2 linked regions of the Stegostoma tigrinum genome follow. The protein of the gene in region 2 interacts with the protein of the main gene of each other region in a pairwise test. Links are inferred from orthologs where the notes say so. Each region holds a gene or a part of one and is shown on either strand. Other genes may lie near its edges. The genes, in order: gmppb and txndc5.

Region 1 (15,348 bases), on a different chromosome or scaffold from region 2:
TACCATTAATTGTGTAAGTCCTGCCCTTGTTTGTTTTACCAAAATGCAATCCCTCACATTTATCCAAATTAAACTCCATCTGCTACTACTCAGCCCATTGACCCAATTGCTCAAGATCTCTTTGTAGTTGTAGATAACCTTCTTCACTGTCCATTTTGCCACCAATTTATAGGTGGAGTTCTGTGTGAAGAGAAGGGAACAAGGGAATCGTTCCAGGAAAGAGGGAATACAAATCCGGGAGACAATGTTTCAGAGTTAGTAGGAACTGCAGATGCTGGAGAATCTGAGATAACAAGGTGTAGAGCTGGATGAACACAGCAGGCCAAGCAGCATCAGAGGAGCAGGAAAGCTGATGTTTCAGGCCTAGACTCTTCTTCAGAAATGGAGGAGGGGCAGGGGGTTCTGTAATAAATAGGGAGAGAGGGGGAGGCAGATAGAAGATGGATAGAGGAGAAGATAGGTGGAGAAGACACAGGTCGAAGAGGCAGGGTTTGAGCCAGTAAAGATGAGTGTAGGTGGGGAGTTGGGAGGAGATAAGTCAGTCCAGGGAGGACGGACTGGTTGAGGGGCAGGATGAGGTTAGTAGGTAGGAGATGGAGATGGGGCTTGAGGTGAGAGGAACAAAATCAACTTTATAAAATAGCCAGTGCCATTTCTAAAGAAGGGTCCTGACCCGAAACGTCAGCTTTCCTATTCCTATGATGTTGCTTGGCCTGCTGTGTTCATCCAGCTCTACACCTTGTTATCTTAGGGGAGAGAATATAATTTGAGACACCTCAAGCTGAGAGTGGAGAGCGAAGGCAGCTCTGGTGAGAGAACCACACCGAACACAAACTTAAGAATGGAAATATTCAGTTTTGCTCATTTAATTCCTAAGTTTGGTGAGGAAGTGTTGGGCACCTTTTGAAAGGTTAGCAAGCAGTTTAAAGTGGCCAGTCCATTGCTTGTTATTGCTATTATAGAGCAGGCTGGCAGAGAAAGCACATAAAGTTTACTCTGTGATGATGCTGTGGCTTTCAGAGTTATTTTGTTCATTTTTTTGAAGACAGGTTTTAAGGCAGAAGTGTCAAGTAGTCTACCAAAACCATGAGACTGAACAGCTTGTGAGACCTTGGTTTTATTTTTTAATTGGAACAATAGAAGCAGCCTGAATGGGTGGAGTTGAGCTTTCACAGAACCAGGATTTTTAGTTTTTTAGGCAGCAGTTGTTGGTGAGTCTCAGCAGAGTTAGGAGGCAGTGAATTTCTCCCCGACTGTTACACTCTCTCTCTGAGTTTTCTCTGGATGTTTTTCCTCTTGATCTGCTAGAGTTGCGTGTGAGATAACTCTGTTTTCTGAATCTGTCTTTTAGAGCATAGAACAGTACAGTACAGCACAGCCCCTTCAGCCCATGATGTGCTGACCTATTATCCCACTCTAAGATCAAACTACCCTGCATTCCCTATATTTTACTATAATACACGTACCTATCCGAGAGTCGCTTCAATGTCCCTAATGTATCTGACAAAGGGTATGTTTATGGGATGGTACCATACTGGAACTGTTACTGTTCAATAGTAAAATAATGTGTTACTCTGTTAAGTCTTCCGATAGAGCTAAGTTATTCCAAGTTCCTATTTCCTTTAATGTATTTTAACTATAGATTAGAATCCCTACAGTGTGGAAACAGGCCCTTCGGCCCAACAAGTCCACACCGCCCCTTGAAGCATCCCACCCAGACCCATCCCCGTATAACCTTCACACCCCTGAACACTATGGACAATTTAGCATGGCCGATCCACCTGGCATACACATCTTTGGACTGTGGGAGGAAACCGAAGCACCCGGAGAAAACCCATGCAGACACAGGGAGAATGTGCAAACACCACAAAGACAGTCGCCCGAGGCTGGAATTGAACCCAGGTCCCTGGCGCTGTGAGGCTGCAGTACTAACCACTGAGCCACCGTGCTGCTATAATTTTTGAATAAATTGTATTTTGCTTAATGTCAAGTAGTTTGATCAATTGAATTGCATCTGGAACTCGGCACATTACATTTGCCTTTAAAATAAGAAACGTTTGGGGTATAGATTGCTTTCATAATATATTTTGAAGGGGTTTGGTCTAATCTGGTCAGGTCCATAATGACTTCCATGCCCTGAAGAATGTACTGCTGACTATGAGGCAGTAAATGGGCTATTTTAAGTGTATATCAGTTAGTATTAGAGACATATTGACAAAAATTCTGTAGCTTCAAGAAATGGCCTGATCAGACATGCATAGAATATGGACTGCTTTCGAAGCTCACACACTCCTTTGTGTGGTAATTCTCTTTGAGTAGTTTAAAAAAAAACTCTGTATCCTTTCCTTAAATCAGGAACAGACGGTAGTAGGTTATGAACAGACACTAATTCTGGCTGATGAGTTAACATGCAAGGCCATGAACTCAGGAAATATGGGGTCCGTCACAGATCTAGAAGGTGCTAATTGACTGGAAATAGCCCAATAACTATTAAAAAGAAGGCCAGTAAGAATCAGGAAAGGTGACAAAGGATAACATGCCAATACCAGAGACCTGTTTAACAGGCATTAAAGTAAAAGAGCTCTCAGATCATACCAGGAGAAAGTGAGGGTGAAGTCCCATTTAGCGCAAGAGGGCCAAGGGAGTATTGCACAAGTTGAACATCCATCAGATAGCAATAGTGTACCAGGGAAAGTAGAACAGATAGGGGGAAATATCAGTCCCAGAACAAAGAGAAAAGAGAAGGGAATGTAGCGCAGAGCCAACTCTGCTGGTGCAGGTCACCAGGGCGATATCAATAAATTCAACACATAGCTACCCAATGGGAGATCTAAGGAAGAGAATCCAGTCTCAAATCTCAACCAGTAAAATTGGATTGATGTGAAGTTAAATGAAAGTAAATTAATAAATTCCGGGCATTCCATAGGAGGCAGATTACCACCTACCAATCCCTGAAAATCGAATGTATAAAAATACCTGAATTCTGGTCCATGGATTATAAAAATGGACAATGAAGGGTGAAAACTTGGGAATGTCAAACGGCCCAGTAAACAAATCCGACTGCTTTTACCGAAACAGGTTTGGAACCCAGGTTAGGATAAAGAATTGAAAGTGGAATATGTTCTAGTGTGTGTGTTGTCATCCAAAATTTTTGTATTGCTCTTGCACATCAACAAAATATTCACTGTAAACAAATTGGAGATATTGTTCTTGTTGTGGAGAGATCGTAGTGAAAATGGACGATCAATATTCTGAGAATCCCTGCATTGCAGGAAGAGAGCATTCAGCCTATTGATTGTATGCTAGCCATCTGAAGAGCACCCCACCCAATCCCTGTATTTAATATAGCTGATCCAACTAATATGCCCACTATGGGGCAACTTAGCATGGCCAATCCACCTAAACTGCATGTGCTTGGACTGTGGGAGGAAACTGGAGGACCCAGGGGAATCCATGCAGACACAGGGAGAATCTACAACTCCGCACAGATAGTCACCCAAGGAGAGAATTGAACCTGGGTCCCTGGTGCTGGGAGGTAACAGCGCTAACCATTGAGCCACTGTGCCACCCCAACTCCGATTATCAGACTTTAATAAAAGGAATCAGAAACGTTTGCAGACTAAAACTGATTTTAAATCAGGACACTACTCACTTGCTGTGACCATTTGATAAGCTTGGGGATCCCACATGGAACATACAAAACTGCGTATGTCTGAATTATTATTATATTTAAGAAATATTGAAGCTCATAGATGTGTCAAAAATTTGCATCTTTGTCTTTATTCACACTTATACATAACTGCACACATTGGAAATGAAAGTCTACCAGGTAGTGTTCAGTTCACAAAAACAATGGAGCTAGACTTGAAATATACAAATAAACCATATTTTTGTGTTTTACTTTGAGCTATTAAGCAGAAAGAAAGTAGATGGTTTGAACACAGCAAGGATAGTGGAAGCTCCTAAATAAAATCCGAAAGAACTACAGATGCTGTAAATCAGGAACAAAAACAAAGTTGCTGGAAAACTCAGCAGGTCTGGCAGCATCTGTGAAGAAAACATGAGAGTTCATGTTTCCGGTCTGGTGAACCTTCCTCAGAAGGGACTGGAAGGTCCTGCCTCTCTTTCTATCAATGTCATTCCAGCATTGGTGAAAAGAGCAAACTGGGGGAAAAGGAAACACAGTGAATGAAAAGTTGGAGATCTGCAAGCTTTATCATTCCTGAGGAAACAGGAAGGCATTTAAATAGCTGTGAATCAGTTTTCGCTCTTGCAACTCAGAAGAATCTAATAAACTGTAAACTGCAACTGCCTTTAATTTCCAGTCAGTAGCAAATACCTATCTTTCAGACTCTTTGTAAGTTCATTACCTACGGCTTGTGTGAATGTGGTTGTCACATTTTATTGTTTTTCTTGGGTCCCTCTCCTTCACTCCAGCAAACGTGGAATTGGCACCCCCCACTCTGTCCTTCTGATGTGGTTAATTGCGTTTGACTGAAGTGTGGTAACTACATGGTTAAAAATAAGTATTTAACAAATTGTTGTGACTGACCAAGTAGTGGTTAGAAAGGAGGGGAGCTGTGAATATTTTCAGCTCGTTGTGATACAGCTAATTCTTTAATGCTGGACCTCCTGCACATATCATGTTCTCTCTGGCAGGCTCAGAATTGACGATGATTGTCTTCCACCCCGGAGTCGTGAGTCCTGAGATGCTACTGGTGGGCACTGAAGCAGGAGGGCGGGCTGTTCGGGCTTTGGCACACTCCCAACACTCTTGTGCTCACCCTCCATGTTAGCCTGTTGGAGATGGTTAGCTCCTTTGCAAATTCTTCATCTCCAAATTGGGATAGAGGTTCCTGCACATTTATGGGATATTGCGTTTTTCCTGGGATCATTTGATGACGTCGTTGAGTCTTTTCCTCTGCCCCCCTGTTGCCCAGTTACCGTGACGAAGCCCAGAGTACAGAGTTCATTGTGAGAGTCTTATGTCAGGCATGTGGATGAGCTGGCTCTGCTCAGTGCCAACCGATTGACTGTACGCAGTGTCTTGGTATTGGGGATGTTAGCCTGAGAGAGGACACTGATAACGGAGCATCTGTTCAGCCAGGGCATTTGTATGATATCGTGGAGGCATTTTTGGTGATATTTCCCCACAGATTTGCTGTACACTGTCCATGTCTCCACCACGTACAGGAGGCAGGGAACACTGCTGCTGTGTAGACCATGGGCTTGGTGCCTGGTTTCAGGTCTTTGTCATCAAACACTCAGCTCCTCAGATGGACAAAGGCTGGGCTGGGCAGGTTGGGTGAATTTCTACAGTGTACCTTAAGTGTGTAAAGTGCACCTTATGGTGTGTAGATAGTACACACTGATGCTACTGAGCTTCAATGGTGGAGGGAGTGGATGCTTGTGGATTTGGTGTCAATCAAGTGAATTGCTTTGTTTGGATGGTGTTGAGATTCTTGAGTTTTCTCTGACAGCTATCACATATAGCACAGCCTGAACACAGGTTTTTTTATAAGGTGCAGTTCTGAAGGCTGTCCTCTCAGCTTTGGCTGTACATCCAGAGGAAGTCTATACATCAGAGGTTTGGTCATTTATGGAAGGTGCTAATTTGAGGCAAACCCTGACTGCTGATGGGACTGTGTTCCTGATTTTACATTTGTGGTCATTTAAATTGATCTTGTTAGGATGATTCCATATTATGAAAGTTGGAGTACTTTAAATCCAATCCTCTTTTTAGAACTTTCTGGACACCATTTAAAATAAAACCATCTTTGTCACCCACATTTCATGTGTAGCAAACAACATCTTGTGTCCGCGAAAATTCCTATCACTATCACGATCAACTATCAGGGTAATTGCAGTGGTGATAATGGGAACTGCAGATGCTGGAGAATCCAAGATAATAAAGTGTGAAGCTGAATGAACACAGCAGGCCAAGCAGCATCTCAGGAGCACAAAAGCTGATGTTTCAGGCCTAGACCCTTCATCAGAGAGGGGGATGGGGTGGGGTGAATAAATAGGGAAAGAGGGGGAGGCGGACCGAAGATGGAGAGGAAAGAAGACAGGTGGAGAGTATAGGTGGGGAGGTAGGGAGGGGATAGGTCAGTCCAGGGAAGACGGACAGGTCAAGGAGGTGGGATGAGGCGGTAGGTAGGAAATGGAGGTGCAGCTTGGGGTGGGAGGAAGGGATGGGTGAGAGGAGGAACAGGTTAGGGAGGCAAAGACAGGCTGGACTGGTTTAGGGATGCAGTGGGGGGGCAGGGGAAGAGCTGGGCTGGTTATGTGGTGCAGTGGGGGGAGGGGACGAACTGGGCTGGTTTTGGGATGCGGTGGGGGAAGGGGAGATTTTGAAGCTGGTGAAGTCCACATTGATACCATTGGGCTGCAGGGTTCCCAAGCGGAATGTGAGTTGCTGTTCCTGCAACCTTCAGGTATCATCATTGTGGCACTGCAGGAGGCCCATGATGGACATGTCATCTAAAGAATGGGAGGGGGGAGTTAAAATGGTTCGCGACTGGGAGGTGCAGTTGTTTATTGCAAACCGAGTGGAGGTATTCTGCAAAGCAGTCCCCAAGCCTCCGCTTGGTTTCCCCAATGTAGAGGAAGCCACACCGGGTACAATGGATACAGTATACCACATTGGCAGATGTGCAGGTGAACATCTGCTTAATATGGAAAGTCATCTTGGGGCCTGGGATAAGGTTGAGGGAGGAGGTGTGGGGGCAAGTGTAGCATTTCCTGCAGTTGCAGGGGAAGGTGCCAGGTGTGGTGGGGTTGGAGGGCAGTGTGGAGCGAACAAGGGAGTCACGGAGAGAGTCTCCGGAAAGCAGACAAGGGTGGGGATGGAAAAATGTCTTGGGTGGTGGGGTCGGATTGTAGATGGCGGAAGTGTGAGAGGATGATGCGTTGTATCCAGAGGTTGGTGGGGTGGTGTGTGAGAATGAGGGGGATCCTCTTGGGGCGGTTGTGGTGGGGGTGGGGTGTAAAGGATGTGATGCAGGAAATGCGGGAGGCGCGGTTAAGGGTGTTCTCGACCACTGTGGGAGGAAAGTTGCGGTCCTTGAAGAACTCGGACATCTGGGATGTGCGGGAGTGGAATTCCTCATTGTGGGAGCAGATGCGGCAGAGGAATTGGGAATAGGGGATTGAATTTTTGCAGGAGGGTGGGTGGGAGGAGGTGTATTCTAGGTAGCTGTAGGAGTCGGTGGGCTGGAAATGGACATCAGTTATAAGCTGGTTGCCTGAGATGGAGACTGAGAGGTCCAGGAAGGTGAGGGATGTGCTGGAGATGGCCCAGGTGAACTGAAGGTTGGGGTGGAAGGTGTTGGTGAAGTGAATGAACTGTTCGAGCTCCTCTGGGGAGCAAGGGGCGGCGCCGATACAGTCATCAATGTAACGGAGGAAGAGGTGGGGTTTGGGGCCTGTGTAGGTGCGGAACAGGGACTGTTCCACGTAACCTACAAAGAGGCAGGCATAGCTGGGGCCCATGCGGGTGCCCATGACCACCACCTTTGTGTGTAGGAAGTGGGAGGAATCGAAAGAGAAGTTGTTGAGGGTGAGGACGAGTTCGGCTAGGCGGATGAGGGTGTCAGTGGAGGGGGACTGGTCGGGCCTGCGGGACAGGAAGAAGCGGAGGAACTTGAGGCCATCTGCATGCGGAATACAGGTGTATAGGGACTGGACATCCATGGTGAAAATGAGGTGTTGGGGGCCAGGGAATTGGAAGTTCTGGAGGAGGTGGAGAGAGTGGGTGGTGTCACGGACGTAGTTAGGGAGTTCCTGGACCAAAGGGGAGAAAAGGGGACACCTTCTCCCACCCACCCTCCTGCAAAAATTCCATCCCCTATTCCCAATTCCTCCACCTCCGCCGCATCTGCTCCCACGATGAGGCATTCCACTCCCGCACATCCCAGATGTCCAAGTTCTTCAAGGACCGCAACATTCCCCCCCACAGTGATCGAGAACGCCCTTGACCACGTCTCCCGCATTTCCCGCAACACATCCCTCACACCCCGCCCCCGCCACAACCGCCCAGAGAGGATCCCCCTAGTTCTCACACACCACCCCACCAACCTCCGGATACAACACATCATCCTCCAACACTTCCACCATCTACAATCCGACCCCACCACCCAAGACATTTTTCCATCCCCTACCTTGCCCGCTTTCCGGAGAGACCACTCTCTCCATGACTCCCTTGTTCGCTCCACACTGCCCTCCAACCCCACCACACCCAGCACCTTCCACTGCAACCACAGGAAATGCTACACTCGCCCCCACACCTCCTCCTCACCCCTATCCCAGGCCCCAAGATGACTTTCCACATTAAGCAGAGGTTCACCTGCACATCTGCCAATGTGGTATACTGCATCCACTGTACCCGGTGTGGCTTCCTCTACATTGGGGAAACCAAGCGGAGGCTTGCGGACCACTTTGCAGAACACCTCCGCTCAGTTCACAATAAACAACTGCACCTCCCAGTCGCAAACCATTTCCACTCCCCCTCCCATTCTCTAGATGACATGTCCATCATGGGCCTCCTGCAGTGCCACAATGATGCCACCCGAAGGTTGCAGGAACAGCAACTCATATTCCGCTTGGGAACCCTGCAGCCCAATGGTATCAATGTGGACTTCACAAGCTTCAAAATCTCCCCTTCCCCCACCGCATCCCAAAACCAGCCCAGTTCATCTCCTCCCCCCACTGCACCACACAACCAGCCCAAATCATCCCCTCCCCCCCCTGCATCCCAAAACCAGTCCAACCTGTCTCTGCCTCCCTGACCTGTTCTTCCTCTCACCCATCCCCTCCTCCCACCTCAAGCCGCACCTCCATCTCCTACCTACCAACCTCATCCCACCTCCTTGACCTGTCCATCTTCCCTGGGCTGACCTATCCCCTCCCTACCTATACTCTCTCCACCTATCTTCTTTTCTCTCCATCTTCGGTCCGCCTCCCCCTCTCTCCCTATTTATTCCAGTTCCCCCACCCCATCCCCGTCTGTGATCGAGGGTCTAGGCCCGAAACGTCAGCTTTTGTGCTCCTGAGATGCTGCTTGGCCTGCTGTGTTCATCCAGCTTCACACTTCAGGGTAATTGTAGTAATCACTCCAGCCCACTTCACCCCCTCAGGGCGCTCTCCCCCAAGACGCTGCTTCCTGGTCCATCTTATGCACGCGTTTCGTTGTTGGCGTTGCCCTGACCCCGATTCCGATTGGTCAAAGCTGTCCCACCTCCCCTCCTTCATTAACCAATCGATGGAAGACGGATCCTCTCGGAACACTTTCCCCTCCCCTCTCCCGCATTGGCCGGGCGCTGACCTTACCTCCCCCTATTCCCGCCCCCCATTGGCCGGGCCGCCAGCGGCCCTTTCGCCATTGGCTGTTGCCCCGTTACGGCGCGGCGGCAGTGCCACGTCGTTCGATGCCGGAGGTGAGGGTCCGGGGAGCAGAGAAGTAAGTCCGGAGGAGAGCCTGGGATGGAGAGAGGTGGGGAAATAGGGTCCCGAGGGCGAGGGTGACAAACAGTTTGGGAGGGTCGGATGCAGATCCCGGGTTGTGGGGGTGTGGAGGAGGTGGGGGTGTGGAGGAGGTGGGGGTGTGGAGGAGGTGGGGGTGTGGAGGAGGTGGGGGTGTGGAGGAGGGGGGGGTGGGATGGAGGGAGGGAGAGGATGAGGTCTCCTCAGGGGACAGGAGATGACTGAGGGTCTCTGTGATTAGAGTGAGTGAGTGTAGGGGGTGTGACAGAAATGGGCAGCTCCAGTGAGTGGAGGGCACCACATTAGCTGGTCCTGAGAATAGTCCAGCCTGTACCTGTGTGGCTGTGACCAGGTTTGAGCTGAGTAAAGGTCCCACCTGGCTCAGGCACTAGTCAGCGAGGGAGGGGATCCTGAATCGGGGACCAAGCGGCAGAGTCTGCACGTTTCTGTCCCGCCCCGCTCCGGTTAATGGGACCTGTGGTTTGCCGATTCAGAGACACGGCGGTTGGGTGTCAGCGCTGTACATTTCAGTCGGTGCCCATTTCAGGTTTTTGTCTTCGAGGACCAGCAAATCAACTTTATAAAATAGCCAGTGCCATTTCTGAAGAAGGGTCCTGACCCGAAACGTCAGCTTTTCGGCTCCTCCGACGCTGCCTGGCCTGCTGTGTTCCTTCAGCTCCACACTGTTGTCTCTGACTCCAGCATCGGCAGTTCTTCCTGTTTCTGCCTCAGTTACTGGTGTGACTTGAATAAAGTTTGTTTCAGGACTGCACTTCTGCAGGAAAAAAAAACCTGATTGCAGGGTTTCAAACATGTTATGTTAATTCTGGGTCTCGATTTTTTGGAGAGGAAAGGACGTTGAAGATTGCAGAGCAAATGTGTGTTTCTAGAGTAAGGGTTGATGATGAAAGATTTGATGGAAAGAGGAAGGCACTGCCAACCTCAACAAAGGTGGGGCCCGGGAGTGGAATTGCTTTTGTGGGAATAGGTTCAAAGGTGCATTCATTCCACCCTTGACTCAGCTTCAGTCTCATTTGTACAGCGTGATTGTCACCTTCCTGCCATTGCTGGAAAATTGCAGCATCTTGAGGTTCTATTCTTGCATGTTTTCCTCTAGATTGTTGAGTGAGAGCTCCCATTTCATGTCTTCACAGCTGACAATGAAAGCGTTGATTCTGGTTGGAGGTTACGGCACGCGGTTACGGCCGCTGACACTCAGTGTTCCAAAACCGCTGGTGGACTTCTGCAACAAGCCCATTCTTCTACACCAAGTGGAAGCCTTAGTAAAGGTACAGTCAGCCCCTGCCAGAGATGGTTACAATCAGGATATCAGAGAGAGGAGCGCATGTATACCAAGACCGGAACTTGACGATGCAGTGGTAATGTTCTGGCAGCATGTGATAATGGATGGCTGTGTGTAAGGACTAGACAGTGCATCCTCACAGATGCCTCCCACTGCCACTTCATTGTATTTTTCTATTGCACAAACTTTTAAAATTGTACAGAGATCATACTGTATATAATCATTTCTTTTATATTAGTGCTGAAATATTTTGAGGAATATTGTGGATAAGCCAAAACAATTTAATGTTGCAGTTTTCCCTTTCAACTGCATCAGCGTTAGTGCAAGAGATTTGTGACTGCTCATTAATATTGAGTTGACATTTACTTCAACAGCTTAATTGTGGCATGTAGTCAGCACTATGTCAGCCTCCTCTAACATCTAAGTTGGGAAGGGCTGAATATCAAATTGCACTGTTTCTAAACAGGTCAACATGTAGATTCGATTTTTTTTCCCTCCCTCATTGTTTTCTTCAGAATTTCAACTGAAATCTAACAGTATGCAGACTGTTGTAACAATAGCTGTAGGTCCTTATTGGGAATGTAGAATAAATCAGTCTAAAAATGCAGACTATAGACAGGTTCTTGTGCCTCTCTTTTCCCACATCTATTATCTGTTTTGAGCAGGCTGGTGTATCCCATGTAATCCTTGCTGTCAGCTACATGTCGGAGATGTTGGAGAAGGAGATGAAGGAGCAGGAGCAGCGGGTAAGTGGGAAAAGGCTACGGTAGCGGATGGAAATGTTTCCTGCACACTGATTTTCTGTGATTGTGCTAGACATGGTGAAAGCAGAGATTTGTATTGAACTGTGCAGCATGCAACCTGATTGATCCCAGCAGTGTTTTTCCCCTCTTGCTGTGTAATTGTGTTTTGGGATGTTGAATCATACAGGTTGGAGAGGATGATAGGATAAACAAGTGAGAATGTTGATTTGACCCTTGTATGGTTAAGACCATTCAGCTTTTCTCAGCACCATGAGGACAGAGCTCCAGCAGCTCCTGCTGAGTGCTGAACACCCATTGAGCTTAAGGAGCCTCATTCCTATGTGGCCTCTCTACTTTCTACCCTCTGAAAAATTGGAAGATCATTTCAAACTGCAGCCTGTACTTTATGTCATAGCTGGTCTCATTCCCCCGGACCCATGCTCTTTGCAACCCTCTGGAACTGGGCTTGAGCTCATCCCTGGCTGTCTGAGAGGGAAAGGTACTGCCAGCAGAGCCAGGCCTGCCACATCCAGGTGCAGGTAGGTCAACTCCAGGCCCAGCTTGCTGCCTTGAGCATCCACCTCTTTCTCTTTCTGCCTACCTTGCACAAATGCCTGCCTGACTGATGAGCATCTGGTAGACAGGGTAGTAAAGGTGTTCAGCATGCCTACCTTCACTGCTTAGACCTGTGAGTATAGGAGTTGGGATGTCATGTTCAAGGTGTACAGGATATTGGTGAGGCCTATTCTGGAGTACTGTGTGCAGTTCCAGTCTCCCTGTTATAGGAAGGATATTACTGAATTGGAGAGGGTTCAGAAGAGATTTATCAGATGTTGCTGGGTGGAAGGTTTGAGTTATAAGGAAAGGCTAGATAGGCTGGGACTTTTCTCACTGCGGTGTAGGAGGTTGGTGATCTTATAGACGTCTTTAAAATCATGATGGGCATAAATAAGGTGAATTGCAGGGTTTTTCACCCATGGTAGGGGAGTTTCAAAACTAGGGGCATATTTTTAACTGAGGAACAAGTTTTAAAAAGGACATGAGCAACATGTGTGTGTGGAATGAACTGCCAGAGGACGTGGTGGATGCGGATAGAGTTACATTTAAAAGACATTTGGATGAGTGCATGGATAGGAAAGGTTTGAAGGCCAAACGCAGGCAAGAGGAACTATTTTAGTTTGGGAACGTGGTAAGGATGGACTAGTTTGACTGAAGGGTCTGTTTCCATGCTGTATGATTCTATGAAACAATAGGAACAGTAACTGTAATTGTGTATTCTTTACTAACCAGCCATCTTGTGTTATTTCCTTTAGCTGGGTATCCGGATCTCTCTCTCTCATGAAAAGGAGCCCTTGGGAACAGGTGAGAAACTTGGCCACATTGATATACTGATGACAGTGAAACCCTCGTGCTCCCCTTTCTGATCTTCCCCACTCTGCCCTTAAGGGGACTTCACTTCAGTTATTCATTTTTGTCCCTAATGGAATCCTGGCTTCTCCCTTCTGCACTGTAGATTTACAAAAAACTTTATTTCCCTTAAATTTCATTAATTTCTGTCCCTGAATCCCATCCAAAATGGAATAATAGAGCATCTGATGAGGGCAGCAGTTTAGTGAAATAAAAGGACAGGAGATGGTTATTAAACTCCTTCTCTCTTTTCCGGCGTTAAGTCGTTGATGATCTGCACTGAGGTGAATTTATCTGTCTCTACTCCATATATCTTCGTACCTTTACTGTCATACTTCATATGTTCCTAGCTATTTCCATCTTAAGCAGTCTATTTGCAAGAAGAGTCTTGACCCGAAACATCACCTTTCCTGTTCCTCTGATCATGCCTGGCCTGCTGTGTTTCTTCAGCGCCACACTGTGTTATCTCTGACTCCAGCATTGGTAGTTCTTCCTATCTCTGACTACTGAGTTAGCTTTTTTTTTAAAAAAATGATACAATAACCCTGAAGAAGGAATCCGTGCAGGGCAGAGAAGGTGCTTCCACATAGAGTATGTGTCCGTGGATGCTGATTGTGGATCTTGCTAGGTCAGGAGCACCTGGCTGTCTTGTAGCTTTTATGACTCTTGTGTGTTGCCTTTTGCAGCTGGACCCCTCGCTCTGGCCCGTGAGCTGATCACCAGCAGCTCGGAGCCCTTCTTTGTCCTCAACAGTGACGTTATCTGTGAGTTCCCCTTTGAAGAGATGGTCCGCTTTCACAAGCATCATGGAAAGGAGGGTACTATTGTGGTGAGTTGTGCCCAGGTGGATGCTCTGGGGACTTGGATTCAACACCTCCCACTACAGCCAGTGCAGTTCCCATGGATAAAACCTGGAATTCACAGTCAGTTTCAGAGAGGATGATCACGAAACTACGATTGGTTCATTAACATCCTTTAGGGAAAGAAATCTGCCTACGTGTGCCTTCAGAACCACAGCAAAGTGGTTCATTCTTGACTGTCCTCTGCAATGGCCTAGCAAACCACTCAGTTGGCATTTGGGGGGGGGAGAGACAGATCCCAAATACTAGCCGTGCCAACAAGATCCATGCCCGATGAAATAATTTTTTGTTTTAAAATGGTATTGCATGTTAAAACTGCTGTAGTGACCAATGTAATCAGTAAACTTCACCTCCTGTGCGCTGCACCAGTTCACATTGCAAAGTTACAGCTGTAACAGCAAACTCTGGCCTCAAGCATTGTATGTAAGGAATTATTCCTCAGGCAGGAATGAGGTGCTGGGAATATCTGCCTATTTCCTGGGAACGATGGACAGTACTGGGGAGAGTCTTCTGACTGTTCCAGCAACTGGACAATGTCTCGAGGGAGACCCAAAAGGAAACGTGTTTGTGGAAATTGCTCCCTGACCTTGTCCCTGCCACTTTAGCTTATCAATGTCCCTCTGACTGTCTTTTAATAAATCCGTCTCATTGACAGGTCACTCGGGTGGAGGAACCATCCAAATACGGGGTTGTGATCTATGAAGCAGAAATTGGGCGAATACATCGATTTGTGGAAAAGCCTCAAGTGTTTGTGTCAAACAAGATCAATGCAGGAATGTACATCTTCAGCCCAATGGTTCTGAACAGGATCCAGGTGCGTTTCCCTTGACGTGAAGCGGCTATATTTGGTCTGTACTCTATTCAGCAAGTGATGAAGGAGATCTTTGGATCCCAGTGGTAAAGATCCTCAGTGTTTCCGTGAACTTGGTATAAAACATGGCCCTACTACCCTGTAGCCTGCACAAACCTCAAAGTGAAGGCTATTTAACGCAGGCAAATGAAGTGCTAAACTCTGTTTGATTAGATTCCACTGCACTGTCCCCATCCACGCCCCAGGATGGCAACACCATGAGGTTAGCTACAGAGTAAAGCCCACTCTACGCTGTCCCCCAGCAAACAGTCCCCGGACAGGAACGGCACAGGGTTAGATACAGAGGAAATCTCCCTCTGCACTGTCCTCATCAAACACTCCCAGGACAGGGAAAGCTCATGGTTGGATACAGCTGTCATTGAATCGAGCTGCATCTGCAGAATTTGAAGGTGCTAAACTTCTATTCTAGCATTCATTAATCCTGCACTGATGAGGAGTTAACTTCATTTTCTGTTGGATTGTTAAGGCTGCCCATTTCTGCAAGTGGAAATAATCTATTCCTCTCTTGCCTCTATTTATCTTTTCCTGGGTCACACCCTATAATCTTGACTTCCTTTATTCGGTTTTGATATGAGTGGTACTAGATGGACCAGTGCTTGTTGCCGATCACTAATTTATACTCGAGAAGCTGGTGAACCACTGTCCTGAAACAGTGCATCACTACTCAAACGCAACCTTGAA
Region 2 (15,795 bases):
ATTAAACCATTAAATATTTTCTACATTTTAAAATGTGCACTTTGGTTAAATAGTTTGCAGAGGTTACAATACTATAAACCTGTAGGCTATTCTGTGGTAGAGTCAAAAGTAAAACTAAAAATATAATGACAGACAGAAAAACAGTGTCCTATGACCAGCCAAATTCCCTAAATTGGCAAGACCAAATAAGCAGAGTGACTGTTTTACTGAATGCCTCTGTTCAAACTGCAAGTGTAACCCTGAGTTTCAGCTGTCACTTCAAACCTCTACTTTACCCCCAGCCTTGGCCTGCCGCATTGCTCCACTGAAGGTTCACACAAGCTCACGGAGCTGTGCCTCAACGTTCAACTTCAAAACACTGAACATAATATTTTAGACCATAACCTTTACGCCATTTTGTTTCATGTCTTTCTGCCAGTTTTGTTTCTCTTGTTTCCTTCTTAATCCCCTCACTTCACATTCAGGTGGCTGTTATCCTTTCATTCACTTAGGCACATCTTTTGTGTATAATCTTGTCTCATTATCATTCTCTGGCTTCTTTTGACATGCAACGTTTCGTTGAAGGTACTCTGTCCTCCACACCAACTCAGAGCTTCCTTTTTGATCTTTCCCCTCCCCTTCTTCACTTATTCAGAGCCCATCAAATCTCTAACTTTCCTCAATTCTGATGGAAGGTCATATAGCAATAATGTTAAATCTCTCTCTCTCTCACTATACATACTGTGTGGCCATGATAACTTTGTTTTTATTTATAATTGAAAATCTCTTTGGAGTATTCAAAAGCTACCAGTTCTACTTTGTACATTCCTAGAGATACATACAGGAGGCCTCTCGGCCCATCAGGTTTAAACTACAAATTGGTCTTCACCACAGTAGAGTCCATGAGTGTTTTTCCTTAAATTTCTCAGGATAAGCAATGCAAAATACTCTCTCTATGCAGTATGAATGGAAAATGAATGAAAATGCCAGGTTGAGTTGTTTTTGCACATCAATACAAACCTGCTATGAGTTTCATTTATAACTTGTACGCATTTCTCTGCAGAACCACCTGAAGAAGTTGTTACTTATGGTGCAAAAAGCAGCTTGCTTGGTGAAAGTACGTTGTGAATACAGCTGGAAGTTTGTCAGTTTGCAAGTTTTGCATAAAAACAAAAGCTATGTAACCATTTGGTTACAAATGGCAAGTAACAAAAATGAAACAGAAACAGAAATTGCTATGTAGATTTCTCAGCAACAGTCTTGGTTCTAAAACATTCCCAAGTTTGAGATTACAATGACTTTCTGAAGACTTACAGCAGGTTCAGCATTCAGGGTCTGAAGCATCCACGTTTCCAGTGACTGCAGGTCACGGGGTCCCTGATATTTCACTGCTTCCTGGTCGGGTCTGAACAACTTCAGTCTAAAAGGAAAATCCAAAAGTGAGACAATTAGCCCACACAGAAAATGCATTACAGATATAACATTAGATTCAAAATGCTGTTTAATTAAAAACAAATTGAACGTTTTCTGCTGAAAGCATCTTGCAAGATTAGAAGGCCAAAAAACATGATTTACAGTGACCAAGTGATCATTGTTTTTGAAAGCATTGGTCGAAGTGAGTGAGACATAGGCATGAATAAAGTTATGCTTTAAATACAGTTGATTAGTTGGAACTCACTATTATAACAAAGATGTGTCTCTTATTGTACTTAGTTAGAGGATGAGTGTAAGGCCCAGAGGGTAGGTAAGAGGCAGCCATGTTGCTGTGGCACTGGAGACCCATTGGGACCAGACCAGGTAAGCATGGCACACTTCCTTCCCTAAAGTACATTAAATCATATCATTTTTTACAACAATTGACAGCGGTTACATGGTCAGCATTGGACTAGCAATTCAATGCAAACATCTTAGTGCATTCAAGTTTCACCATCTGCCATGAAGGGATTTGAATGCATGCCCCTGATCAGTAGCCTGGGGCTCTAGACTTCTAGTCCAGTGACATTACCACTGCCACCCACCCCCGTCATGGAAACATAATTACTAAAATACATTTCCAAATTACACTGAATGCCATCTTCCCAAACCTACTGACGATTGCAATCAATTGTTACTTGTAGAGAACACTGCATTAATGTACTTGAGATCACATTTTACTGGTTTGATCATTTGGTTTTATTATTTTTACAAGTGTTGTTGGGAACGAAATGCAGAAATAAAGTTGTGTAATAATGAACTTCATATTATCCGCTGCTCACTGAATCAAATTAAACTAAAATCTCCAGAATATCAAACAAGATTATTCCATCACCCCTTTAAATCAAAATCAAGCGCCCAAAATGAAGAAATCTCAAACTGCTTACATCTTCAGACAGTACAGATGACTGGCAATCACTTAAGGGTGACTCATCCTTTCCAGGCCTGCATGATGTTTAAAAACACTTTCAGTGAAACATCACCTTTTCAAAGCACACCACTTACGTAGGATATCCACGGACTCCTTGATCTGAACAGGTCTGTGTATCTTTGGTGCAGTCAACTTTAGCCACATTTGCTGGAGTGTTTTCCATGCTGTTGTATTTGTCCCCTAGTTCATTCCATGTGGACTGAAGTCTCTGACAATGCCCACACCTGTTAAGAATAGATAGCATATATTTAGTAGAAGTGTAGAATGAATGGCATGAAAACTGATTAGAATCCAAAGCTTGTACTACCTGTACAGAAGCATCTCTAAATTATGATAGATTTTTCCTCATGCACTGTGCTGATGAAAGAAAAACAGAATTTAATCGAATTTCTTAATGGTTCAGCATGACTGTACCTAGTCCCAGAGACACAAGGGGACATCAAATTTCCTGAGGACCAATATCTACGATGAAAGGAACCTCAGGAGATGACAGCGATAGATCACTGACTCAACAAATCTGGCTGTGAATGCAGTTGAGTCATTTACACACGCGAGCTAAGTGTTTTTTCTTGGGATTAACCATATAAATACTGTGACTACAACAGCAGGTCAGAGGCTCGGAATCCTGGAGTGAGTAACTCACCTCCGAACTCCCTACAGTCTGTCCACCATCTAAAAGGCACAAGTCAGTAGTGTGATGGAATACTCACATTTGCCTGGATGAGTGCAGCTCCAGTAACAAATCAAGAAGCTTTGCACCATCTAGAACAAAGCAGCTTGCTTGATTGGCATCACGTCCACAAACATTCAATCCCTGAATGCTCAGTAGCACCAGTGAGCACTAACTACAAAGATGCATGTTGAGAATGAGGCCATTCACACAGCGTCCTCCTCAAACTGGTTGCTTAATTGTCTACCATCATTTGTTACTGGTTGTGGAAGAATGAAGAGCTTCCATTTAACCTATTGGTTACTGGGTCACTTCAAAATGTTACTTCCACTGTTTAGCTGTACGTAGTTCTGTGCAATAGCATTAGCAGGGTGACAACTAATTTTATGTGCTGCTTTTGGCATGTTCTCTTTATCGAATCAGCTTGATGCTTGGCTGGTCAATAGTAGTAGAGTGAGGGATGTGCTGACCTGAGTTTACAGGTTGTGGCTGAATGCAATTCTTTGCTGACTACCCATATCATAAATGCCGTAATTTGAGATGTTAGATCTGCTCTAATCTATCCCACTTAACGTGGCAGTAATGTCACACAACTCATCAAGAGTCATTGTCAGTGTGAATAAGGAAGATAGTCTCGGCATACATTGTGTAGTGATCACCCCCACCAATACCATGTGTCATTTTCATCTATGAGAGGCAGATTGTTAACTGCAAGGTCAACTAAGCTTTTCCACTCATGCTGGTTCTGTCTTCACCTGCCATCCTAGTCTAAGTTAGTTCAGTCAGAAGTGGTACTATTGAGGTACTCTTTGTGATAGACATCAAATAAAGTATGCACCTCAGTATGCTTTCTCCATTCACCCGTCCCTATCCAGCCGGATTCAGCTGGCTCTCCACTCAATGTTGGATGTGCATTTTCCAATTCAAAAGGAAATTAATAATCCAATTAATAGTCCAACTTAAAACTTGAATGTTCCACAATCACTGGGGATCATATGCTGCATGATAAACATCTTAACCTATAAGTTAACAGTTGAGAGTTACATATCTGACATTAATCTTTCAAGACAAATGATCTTTGTACACATGGTTGAACATTTCCATACAATACATGTAGACATGTTGCATATTGTTTGTGTGCCTGGAAAAATGAACACGTACGATATCTCTGAAGTTACCAACATGTTCTCAACAATCTCGGTATCAGTTACAGACTTAAATTCAAATAGATCAACAGTCCTGGATACAAGGTCCCCATGCCTACTATATTCACTGATCCGATATCAACTGCATGTTGTTCTTAAGTAATGTGTGTTCATCCTATGGGGCAGTCCATCCATGGTATAAATCTACTTCAGAAAGTCGAGTGCATTTGAATTTAAATCTTGCAGTTATTAGAAGTAGTCAGCTAGAAATCCACTAAAAAGTGTGTTATGGGAAGGTGGACACAGGAATATTGGAACAGGATATCATGCAACCCTCCAAGTTGTTCTCTACCTAACTAACTCTATATACTTGTCTTTGCCCGGCTTCCCTTAATATTTGATTAACAGACACCTATCAATTACAGTTTTTAAACTAACACTTGGTCAAACATTAATTGCCTTTTAGAAAGAGTTGACAGATAATCCACTCTTTTCAAACAGAATCAAATGGAAGGCAAACTGAAGTACTATAACAAATATTTCAGGATTTTAAAAGCAGATCGCACAGCACTGTATGAAAAAATCCACTTAGAAAAACACATTTTTGTAAACTCAGTCATGCCTAAATATGCATCTGACATGGATGGCAACTCAAAAGAAATGGTGCCTGAAAGACATATATTTAAGCTATTAATCAAAAATTGATTCTGCACCGCATCAGAGTCAGCAACCAATGTAACACAGGGCCTGCTGACAGATTAACCATCAAACGTTGGTGAAGGAATAAGTTGAGGTCATGAGGCACCTGTCTCAGTGTGAGGGGATGCCCTCACCAGACATACATTCAACAAGGAAGTACAGGGAAAGGAAGTACAGAGAATGTCAAAGTACAATGAGGAGCCGGGGTGGGGAGGCGCGGTCACGTAGTTGCAAATCCCATTCATGTTTGCAACTAAGCAAACGCTGGAGGTTTGCAATGTAAACGTTTAAGATACCACGACTTCCTTTTGCATTTGTTAACAAAAGCACCTCGCCCCAAAGAGCAAACCGCTTTTGTAAAAGATTGTTACGTAATGTGATCTCCCATCCTTTGCTGCCACGTACACAGCTCCCATAACAACACGTTGGGAATTACAATGGAACACAGGGGCAAATACTGACTGAAGTGAATACTGTAAACAGTAACACGTATATGATCTCAAACTACCCTCTTGTCCACTTCCCACGCCTCCCCCCCCCCACAACTTTTCTGGAGGAACTGCGGCTGATAATTTTAAACTCCCACTCAACTTTCACTATTCCACCCAATGGAAAGTCTCTAACTTCTCTTTCGCCTACAAAGTTTTGTTTCCGCAATTTCCAAAACAAAGCAAAACTGCAAAAATCCGAGTATATGCAATAACAAAAAAATCAGTCAATCCTCCCCTAAAGGCATCTGAATGCAATCAATAATGATCAAAAAAAAGAGATGGCAAACTTTACCAAGGTGCAAAGAACATGATGAAGTGAGGAGCGGTCTGCACGGCGTGGCTAAAGAGCTCGGCGGTGTAAAGGTGTTTGCTGTGATCGTCCTCCTGCTCCTGTAAAGAGAAGCGCAGGCTGCCCAGGAGCAGAGAGACCAGCAGGGGTAAGATGGACAGGTAACTGGAGAAGGCCATCACTCATTCAACCAAATGCGCGCACACACACATACACAAACAAACAGCAACAAAATCCAAAAGCTGGGAAATCAGAAGTCAGCGCCTCTGCTTCTCTGTCCGGGAAAGTCTACGTGGTGTCACTGCACTACAGCAGCCGCAAACTGAACCAAATGCAGGCAGGCTCAATGGAGAAAGGCTGCCTGCTTTACCACAGCTTCACGCCAGTTCACAGGGTAAGGCAGCGTTCAAACACACACATTTATTTGCTCCGCCTGAACTGTCAATCAAAGCCTCCTCGTTTCCAGTGGGAGGGTCACACGATATTATGCAGCTAGCGTGGTGTCTCTTCGTCAGCATTTCACGGCTGGCAAGTTACAGTGAGGAGAGCTTGCGGGAAGGTTACGCTGCAGTACTCAGGATGCGGCTGAATCAAACTTTGAATGCAATGTGGATGAATGTGTACGTGGTCACAGAACAGAAGGAGCTCGTTCAGCCCGTCGTGTCTCTGCTGATTCTCTGCAACAGTAACTCAACTAGTCTCACTCCCCCGCCTTTCCACACGTAGCTGTGTAATTTATTTGCTCATAGAATAATGATCCAAATGTGTTTTGAAAGCCAAGATTGGGTCTGTCTCCACCACATTTCAGACCATGCATTCCATATCCGAGCCTTCACTATGTGCAAATAAGTTTTTCCCCATGTTTCTGATCCTTCTTTTGTCAAAGGTCTGAATCCGTGTGGTTCTTGATCCTTCCACCAAGGGAACAGTTTCTCCCCTCCCGTCTCGGGCCGGATCTTTATGTCTTTATATACGTAGACTTGACAGCTCGCTTCGAGTGGAAAATGTGATCTGTAACATGTAGGAAGCCATGGACACATTGGAACCCTGGACGACTATATGTACAGGACATGTGAGGAGAGAATGATGTTTGTGTTATAAAGTTCAGGATGATAGTGGAAAATGACGTGCAACGATCCACAGCAAGACAAATCAACTGTGGGAGAGCTGACTTCAATGGGACAAGATCAGAATTGACTGGCAGAAAAGCCGGAAATGAATACAGAACTACCTTCAAAGAGAAAGTTATTTGGGCACTTCCATGTTCCTGCAAATGGGAAGGATGAGAGAAATTAATCCAGAGTTGCCTGGATTACAAAGTAGGTAGAAACTAACATTAGAAAGAAAATTTGTGTTTACGAGAGGTGAAAGGCAGAAAATACAATTGAGGAACAAAGAGAATGCAAAAGGTTTAAAGGAAAGTGAAAAAACACTTTGGAGAAGGAAACAAGAATACAGTCTTGGAGCCGTGCAGCATGGAAACAGACCCTTCCGTCCAACTGGTCCATGTTGACCAAATATCCTAAATTTATATTTCCCCATTTTCCAGCATTTGGCCCATTTCCCTCTAAACCCTTCCTATTCAAGTACCCACCAAGATGCCTTTAAAATGTAATCATATCATTCTCTGTCACTTCCTCTGGCAGATCATTCCATACACACACCACCCTCTGTGTGAAACAGTTGTCTTTGGTCCCTTTTAAATCTTTTCCTTCTAACCTTAAACCTATTCCCTACAGTTTTGGACTCTGCGACCCTGGGGAAAAGACTTTGGCTATTCACCCTACCTAAGCCTCCTCATGATTTTATAAACTTCTATAAAGCCACCCCTCAGCCACCAACGCTCTGGGGAAAATAGCCCCAGCCTATTCTATATTTCCCAGTACTGCAAACAATCCAACCCTAGTAACATCCTTGCAAATCATTTCTGAACCCTTTCTAGCTTAACAGCATCATTCATAAAGCACTGAACACTGTACTCCAAAAGTGGCCTAACCAATGTTCTGCTGCAACATGACATCCCAACTTGTATACTCAATGCATGGACACCATTAAAGGCAAGCATACCAAATGCCTTCTTCGTGACGCAAACAGAAATTGCTGGGAAAGCTCAGCAGGTCCAGTAGTATCTTTAGTGAGAAATTAGAGTTAATGTTTCAGGACGAGTGACCTCTCCTCAGAACTGAGGAATGGTCAGTTGACCCAAAATGTTAACTCTGATTTCTCTCCATAGATGCTACCAGACCTGCTGAGCTTTTCCAGAAATGCCTGTTTTTGTTTCTGATTTACAGCATCAACAGTTCTTTCGGCTTTCTTCATTACCCTATCTACTTACAGCTCCACTTTCAAAGAAATATGAATCTGTATCCCAAAGTCTCTTTGTTCAGCAACACTCCCTAGAACCCTACCATTAAGTGTAATATCCTGCCCTGATTTGCCTTACCAAAGTGCAGCACCTCACATTTATCTAAATTAAACTCCATCTGCCACTCCTCGGCCCATTGGTCCATCTGATCAAGGTTCCATTGTACTCTGAGATAACCTTCTTACTGTCCATGACAGCATCAATTTTTGTGTCATTGTCAAACTTATTAACCATTCCTCCTATATTCACATTCAAATCATATATATAAATTGCAAAAAGCAGTGGACCCAGCACCGATCCTTGTAGTACACCACTGGTCACAGGCCTCCAGTGTAAAAAAATCCACCACCACCCTCCATCTCCTGCCCTCACGCCAATTTTGTATCCAAATGGCTAGCTTTCCCTAGATTCCATGTGATCTAATCTTGCTCATCAGTCTACCATGTGGAATCCTGTCAAACACCTTGCTGAAGTCCACATAAGCAACATGCACTGCTCTACCTTTATTAAACTTTTTTGTCACTCTTAAAAGATCTCAGTCAAGTTATTGACGGACCTTAGCTGGAATATTATGTACAGTTGTGGGCACAACGTTATAGGGAAGATATGACCGCATAGGAGTGAGCACAGAAACAATTTACAAGAATAGTTCAAGGAATGAGAAACCCTGTGGATTTAAGCTCAGTTAGATGGACAGATCGGTTGCAATACAGCGTGATACCAACAGCTTGGATTCAATTCTATCACTGGCTGAGATTACCACAAAGGACTGTTGTTCTCAACTTCTCCCCTCACCTGAAGGGTGGTGGTGACCCTCAGGTTAAACCATCGCCAGTTGTCTCTCTAATGAGAGAGTAGGACTGTGCTGATTTTACCCTTCAGTTGGGTTACACTATGTACTGTCTGGAAGTGTGTGGAAGCAGGTTCAGTTGAAGCATTCAAGGAGGCATTGGACGATTATTTGGATAGAAATAGTGTGCAAGGAGTAAAAAGTAGAAGCTTGGCACCAGGTAATGATGCTCATTTGAGGAGCTGGTAAGGCAGGATGGCATCTTTCTGCGCCTTACCAATTCTGTGATTTTATCAATAGGCAGAGGAGTGTATGAGGCATTTCCACTCCTGCTGAAGTCATGATGGTCATAGCTATAAGATAGTCATTACTAAAGAATACTGGGGAAACTGCCTATCCAGAATGTGATGAAACCATAGAACTCAAGAAGACTTGACATGAGTTTCATAAATTACACTTCTAAAAAGCTTGTAATAATCTCTATTATTACAAATTATTGAATTATTCAATTAATTGAATAAGATCTTATGAAGGTTTATGTTAACTAAGTATTCCTCAAACTGTTGTAAAGTGGGAAATGTGGCAGCCGGTTTGCACACAGGCAGGTCCTACAAATGCACTGTAATAATGACCACATAATCTTTTGTGATGTATGTTCGACGGTAACTACTAGTCAGGGCTCTGCGTGAGAACTCTTGTATTTCGAAAATGTTTCAGTGCAACATCTCATCCAAAAAACAGCACTGTGAATACTGTTTCTCAGTAATGAACCAGATTGACAGCTTGGATTCCTGTTTTCAAGTTTCTCAAGTGGAACTCAAATCTGCAACCTGCTGACTCAGAGGTAAGAGTGCTACCAACTGCACCAGAGCTGACATCTGTTCAAGGGGAATCTAGAGGAAAGTAAGAGAGATACAGGAGTGAAAGATGATAAAGATAGGTTTAGATCAAAAACAGGAAGGGTGAGTATGAGTCTTCGTATTGCACTGCATTTGTACAGGCCCTCTTCCCACCATCATGCGTTCCCCTCCAGCAGATTCTGCAGCATAGAATTCATGAGGCATGGTGACGCAATGGTTTTAAAGTTATTGGACCAGTTAGCCAGAGGCCTAACATGAGCTTACTAATTTAAAACCAGTTTTAAAAAGATGTGTAGTGATTGGAATGAGGATAGCCAAATGGATCTTGTTGAGTGTGAGATCCCTGATTGGAGTTGTTAACCCGGCCAATCAGGGACCCCTGGCTGACGGCTATAAACAGGAGTCTCAGAGAATCTCCTTATTCTAGGGTCTGGTTCAGAGTGAGTCCATGTACTGTACTTGTGTAAATTAAAGATGGTGGTGTTCTAATGTATCTGCTGCTCTTGTCCTTATAGATAGAAGAGATTGTAGGTTCAGAAGGTGCTGTTTAAGGATCTTTGATGACTTTCTGCAGTGCATCTTTTAGGTAGTACACACTTCTGCTTCTGAGTGTCAGTGGCGGACAGCGTGGATACTTGTGGAAGTAGTGCCAATCAAGCGGGCTAACAAAGTGTGAAGCTGGATGAACACAGCAGGCCAAGCAGCATCTTAGGAGCACAAAAGCTGATGTTTCGGGCCTAGCATCAAGCCTCGAGAGTTATTGGAGCTGCACTCATCCAAGCAAGTGGGGAGTATTCCATCACACTCCCGATTTGTACCTTGTAGATAGTGAACCAGCTCTGGGGACTCAGAAGTGAGTTACTCACTTCAGTATTCCTAGCCTGTGATCAGGTCTTGTAGCCACTGTGTGTAAGTGATGAGTTTCTGATCAGTGGTAACCCCAAGGATGTTGATAGTGCGGGATTCGGTGATGGTAACACTGTTGAATGTCAAGGGGCAGTGATTAGATTATCTCTTATTGAGATGGTCATTGCCTGGCATTTGCGTACAGTAAATGTCACTTGTCAGCCCAAGCCTGGATATTCTCCAGAATGTTTTGCGTGTGAACACGGACTGCTTCAGTATCTGAGGAGCTGCAAGTGCTGCTAAACATTGTGCAATCATCAGCGAGCAACCTCGCCTCTGAACTTATGATGGAGGCATGGTCATTGATGAAGCAGCTGAAGATGTTTGAGTGTAGGACACTACCCTGAGGAACTCCTGCAGAGATATCCTGGAGCTGAGATGACTGACCTCCAACAACCAATACTATTTTCCTATGTGCTAGGTATGACTCTAACCAGCAGAGGTTTTATGCTCTGATCCCCATTGATTCCAGCATTTCTAGGGCTCCTTCATTGGCTGCAGAATTGTATTTAATCACAATATGTAACCTTATGGCCTGGCATATCACTCACTTTACTATTACCATCAAGCCTGGGAGCCGCTCTTCTTTTAACGAGAAGTGTAACTGGAGCAGCACTGTACACCCCCAGGAATGAGGTGCAAACATGGTCTAAACTGCTATATGGGTGAATATACATGCAAAACTGCAGAAGAAGTACACTGCATGCAGAGATAGGCGATTCAGATCAGACCTAATTGATGACTCATCAATTAAACAAAGAACCCATTTCAGAAAAATCCCAATTCTCAACTATAGGGTAGTTCAATACATCATTGCAAAGAACAAGACTGAATTATTTACCATCATCATTAGCCAGAAGTGCTGAATTCAATGAGCCATCTTGGCCACCACAGAAACCATGAAAAGCCAATTTCATTTATTCCAAGTAGCATTAAGGAACAGTTGAAACATCAGATAGGGCAAAGCTAAAGGTCCCAATTTCTCCTCAAGTATAATTCTGAAGACTTGTGCTACAGAATTATCTGTGCCTGTACCCAAGCTGTTCTGGATAGCTGCAACATTTGCATTTACCTGAATATGTAGAAAATTCGGCACAAAAAGCAGGCCAAATCTAATTTGGCTTATTACCCTTCCATTAAGCTACTCCCAATCATCAGCAAAGCATTTGGAAGTATTACCAACAGCAAAACTAAGCAGAAGTTACTCAGCAACAAGCTGTCTACTAATGTTCATTTTGGCGTCTGAAGTGGTCACTCATTTCCAGATATCATTTTAACCTTGAGGTGGATTCCAAAGATGCGATAAAAGTGATTGTCCTTGATGTTGTGGATGTTGAAAGTCAAGCATCTCTAACACAGGGCTTTACACTGAAATTCCTCAGGGTAGTGCCCTCAGCCTGACCACCATCAATCTCGTCATCCAGCATCTTTAGAAGATGTTAGCAACAATTGCACAGTATTTATTTCAAACCTCTTCGGATGATGAAACAGCCCATGTTTCTTTGCACCCAGACCTGGGAAACATTTGGATGTGGGCAAATTACCAGCAAGTCATTTATGTACCCTACAAGTGCCAGGCAATACCCACCTCCAAAAAGTGAGAGGCTAACCATCTTCCCAAAACATTTAATGGCATGTTCATTGCAGAAACCCCAACATAAACATTATGGGGGTTAGCATTAGCTCGAAGCTTAACTAGATTAGCACAAATTCTGTGACTACAAGTGTAACTCAGAGGTTGGGAAATTCGAGGTGAGCAACTCACCTCCTGAATCTCCGAATCCTGTCCATCATCTGCAAGGCACTTTTCAGGAGTGTGATGGAAAATTTCCACTTATCTGCATGAGAGTAGCTCCAACAGCACTCAAGAAGCTTGACTCCATCCATGAAACAGCAACCTATCTGACTGGGACCCCAAACACTAGCTTAAAAATTAACTATCCCCCATTGCCAGTGCAAATGGCTACAGAGAGAAGCATCTACAAAATGCACTGCAGAAACTTACCAAGGTTTTTTTTGGAACTTACATGCTCATGACTTGCATCAGCAAGGAGAACAAGGACAGCAGATACATTAAAACTCCACCATCTGAAGTTCTCGTCATAGTCATACAGCATCCTGACTTGGAACTGCATCACCATACCTTCACTGTCACTAGGTCAAAACTCTGGGAATGTCTTTTCTAGAACCACATGTTTTTCAGTGGCTCACCAATATCCCATCTTTTTAAATTCATTCTTGGGATGCCGTCATCAGTGGAAAAATGGTATTTATTGCCCATTCCTAATCACCTTTGAGAAGAAGGTGGTGAACTGCAGTTATGAAATGCCACAGTCCATGTGGTGAAGGTACCTCCAATTTTTTTTTCTGCAGGGGTTTGTTACACATTAATGATTTACTAGTGGTTTCTGAGGGAAGCTAAGAGTCAACCACATTGTTGTGCATCTGGAGTTGCATTGAAGCTAGGATAGGTAAGCAAGGCAGGCTTTCTCCCTTGGTGTACCTTAATGAACCAGATGATTTTAAAACAATCCGGTAATTTTATGATTATTACTAATGAGACTAGCGTTATAAATACAGATTGATTAATATCTCACAACCACAATGTTGGAATTTGCAGGCCAGACCATTCATCAGATCTTTGGATTATTATTCCGGTAACATTATCCCTATGCTACCATTGGTTGATGTCTACAAGAATGTATTAAAACAAACTATTTCTATAATAGTCCCTACGTCTGCTCCTTGTCCTCCAACAGTTCATGAATCCAAACTAATTTTTAGCAAAAATAAAGAAAAAGAAGCTTATTGAACATAAGTAGAGAGGTAAAAAAGGAAGAGCTGATTTAAAGCTGCGCTGAATTTTGGAATGCCTTTGAGGTTATTAGGATCCAATCAGCTTTGCAATCAGAGCTCTTTCAATCAGGTTTTAAGAGACTGAGATCACAAGGTTTTACTGTGCGTTCGAGCAATGAGCTGGACTTCTTGTATTCAAGTGGTATCAGATTCCTAAATTACATCAAGGGAGTTAGAGATGTGGGAAAGTTTAATGAGGCAATTCCAGTGTTTAGGGCTTAGCAGCTGAAAGCATTGTTGCCAATGGTAGAATGGTGATATTTGAGAATGTGCAAAAGGCCAGAGTTGGAGGAACACAGAAATCAAGGACATAGGATTATATACAATGTCTATTGCAGAAATAGGACATTTGTTATAACCTGTCCATATTGGTGTTCGAGTTCCACTTGAGTGCCCTCTCATCTTTCATCGTCTAAATCTATACTGTGACCTGTATTCCCTTCTCTTTAATATGTCTGCTCAGTTTTCCCTTAAGGATTTGACTATTTGCGTCAACCAGTCTTTGCACTGGCTAGTTCAGACCTGTTCATTGATTGGAGATGTTTCTTCTGAAATTCCTATTGAATTTCTTGGTGACTATAATCAACTAATGATCTCTAGTTATGCGTTATTCCTCAAACAGAAGCATTCTCCTCTATAAAACAAAAAGTTGCCTTAGTCTTGCCAAATCATAGGGCTACTCTTCCATTAGAGAGAGAAACTGGGGATGGTTTAACCTGAGGGTCACCATACCTTAGGCATAAGTAAGGCTGAGAAGGACAGTCCGAGCAACCTCAGCCAGTGCAGGATTGAGCCCACTATGCTGGCATCACTCTGCATCACAAACCAGCTGTATAGCCAAATGAGCTAACTCTCTATTAAAACAGTTCAGAATTTTACTGGCCTCAATTAGCTTAACTCAGCCTTCCCTTTGCTGAGAGAAAAGAAATCCGGCCTGTCAGTCCTTTCTTGATTTATATATACTCACTGTTTCCAATTCCTCAGAGACCGATAACTTTTATAAATAGATTTGAATTCCAGTTACTAGCTTAAAGAATGACGCAGCAAGATTTCACATTTTTAAATTTTTTTAATGTAATACATGTCTAAAAGCACTGTTGATTATATTTTAAATTCGGAGGGAATATTCCCATTCAACAGTTGTCATCCATCACATTCTCCCCACAATGACAGACCTCTGAAGAAACAGCCCTCAGGTTCACCCAGCTTCTGGTTGGTTCCTGTGACCCCCTTTTGCCAAGCGGTAACTTTAATGAACCATCTCTGGGCATTTTCCTCAGTCTTCAGAGAACTTCTTGCATCCACTACAAGCAATAATTCCTATTCTGACAGTTCTTCTTCCCCTGGCCATGCCAAGACAGATCTCCCAGAATCTATAGATGACAACAAGATGCTTTTCTTCATCGAGAGACCATCTCCATCCCAGTGGTAGTGCACAAAAAACCAGGCAGCCTCTTCTCTCTGCTAACCACACAGAAACTCGTCTGTCTCACTGTTTTGGTCAATAACTTGTACAGAAGATGGCTACCTGATTTCAAAAACGTCACCCTCTACCTTCTTTCGCTGTGGCAACATAAAACATGTTAACTTTGGGTCCAGGTAGAAAGGCTCATCAGCTCTTCTTAATCCCAACACTTTCATTTTTAAAGTTTTCAATGGACAGTTATGGCATAATTATTTATAACCTGGTAACTTCAACACCTTTATCGGCCACTGGGAGATGCAAAGTAGTACTCATGTCAAGTCAAAGACTGCTGCTGTTGACACCAAGTGTAAATACCTTGCTCATTCCTCCCAGTAAAACCATCTGAGCTTCCCTTTAACCATTATCAATCAAACAACTCAGGCAAAATTCAAAACAGCTAACATAACACCTTAATTTAACCTACAATTATAGCTACATTCCCAAATTATAATAAGTTTATAAACCTGATAAATGTAATACCATACATTTCTGATATCATTTTTGTTAAGTCACCTCCACACTATCTCTCAAGGAACTCGATATCCTTTTTATAACATGGACACCAAAATTGATGCACAATTCTAAAACTAATCTAATCAAAATTTGATGCAGGTTTAGCATTACTTTTCAATTCCATTCCACGAAAAATAGCACTCAGGACCGATAAATCTGGAGGATGTTGATGAAGTAGGATGGGGTGAGGCCATGGAGGTATTTCAAAACAAAGATGAGAATTTTAAAATTATATGGGATCTTGTTACTGTGGTTAATCTTTGAACCCTCCTTTAAAGATGTTTGAACATTCATAAATATTTGCTATTTGATTCTGAGCACAAGATTATCACTGGAAACACCCTTGACTAATTGCAGCTTCAG

The links.
Region 1: the proteins of txndc5 (region 2) and gmppb interact in a two-hybrid assay, tested with the Homo sapiens proteins (2 studies listed by BioGRID and IntAct). The two-hybrid records come from large-scale screens. The link is inferred for Stegostoma tigrinum from reciprocal best matches to the Homo sapiens genes TXNDC5 and GMPPB.

Annotation. Positions count from the first base shown.
Region 1 is NC_081364.1:65,533,499-65,548,846, forward strand, and holds the start of gmppb (mannose-1-phosphate guanyltransferase beta), read left to right. Parts: upstream 1-9,371; 5' UTR 9,372-9,460; exon of another isoform or gene 9,461-9,493; intron 9,494-10,637; 5' UTR 10,638-10,643; coding exon 10,644-10,772; intron 10,773-11,451; coding exon 11,452-11,532; intron 11,533-12,842; coding exon 12,843-12,891; intron 12,892-13,622; coding exon 13,623-13,765; intron 13,766-14,451; coding exon 14,452-14,610; intron 14,611-15,348. UniProt on the Homo sapiens protein: Catalytic subunit of the GMPPA-GMPPB mannose-1-phosphate guanylyltransferase complex. Catalyzes the formation of GDP-mannose, an essential precursor of glycan moieties of glycoproteins and glycolipids. Can catalyze the reverse reaction in vitro.
Region 2 is NC_081358.1:46,141,621-46,157,415, reverse strand, and holds the start of txndc5 (thioredoxin domain-containing protein 5), read right to left. Parts: upstream 6,082-15,795; 5' UTR 5,857-6,081; coding exon 5,681-5,856; intron 2,608-5,680; coding exon 2,458-2,607; intron 1,400-2,457; coding exon 1,294-1,399; intron 1-1,293. UniProt on the Homo sapiens protein: Protein disulfide isomerase of the endoplasmic reticulum lumen involved in the formation of disulfide bonds in proteins. Can reduce insulin disulfide bonds.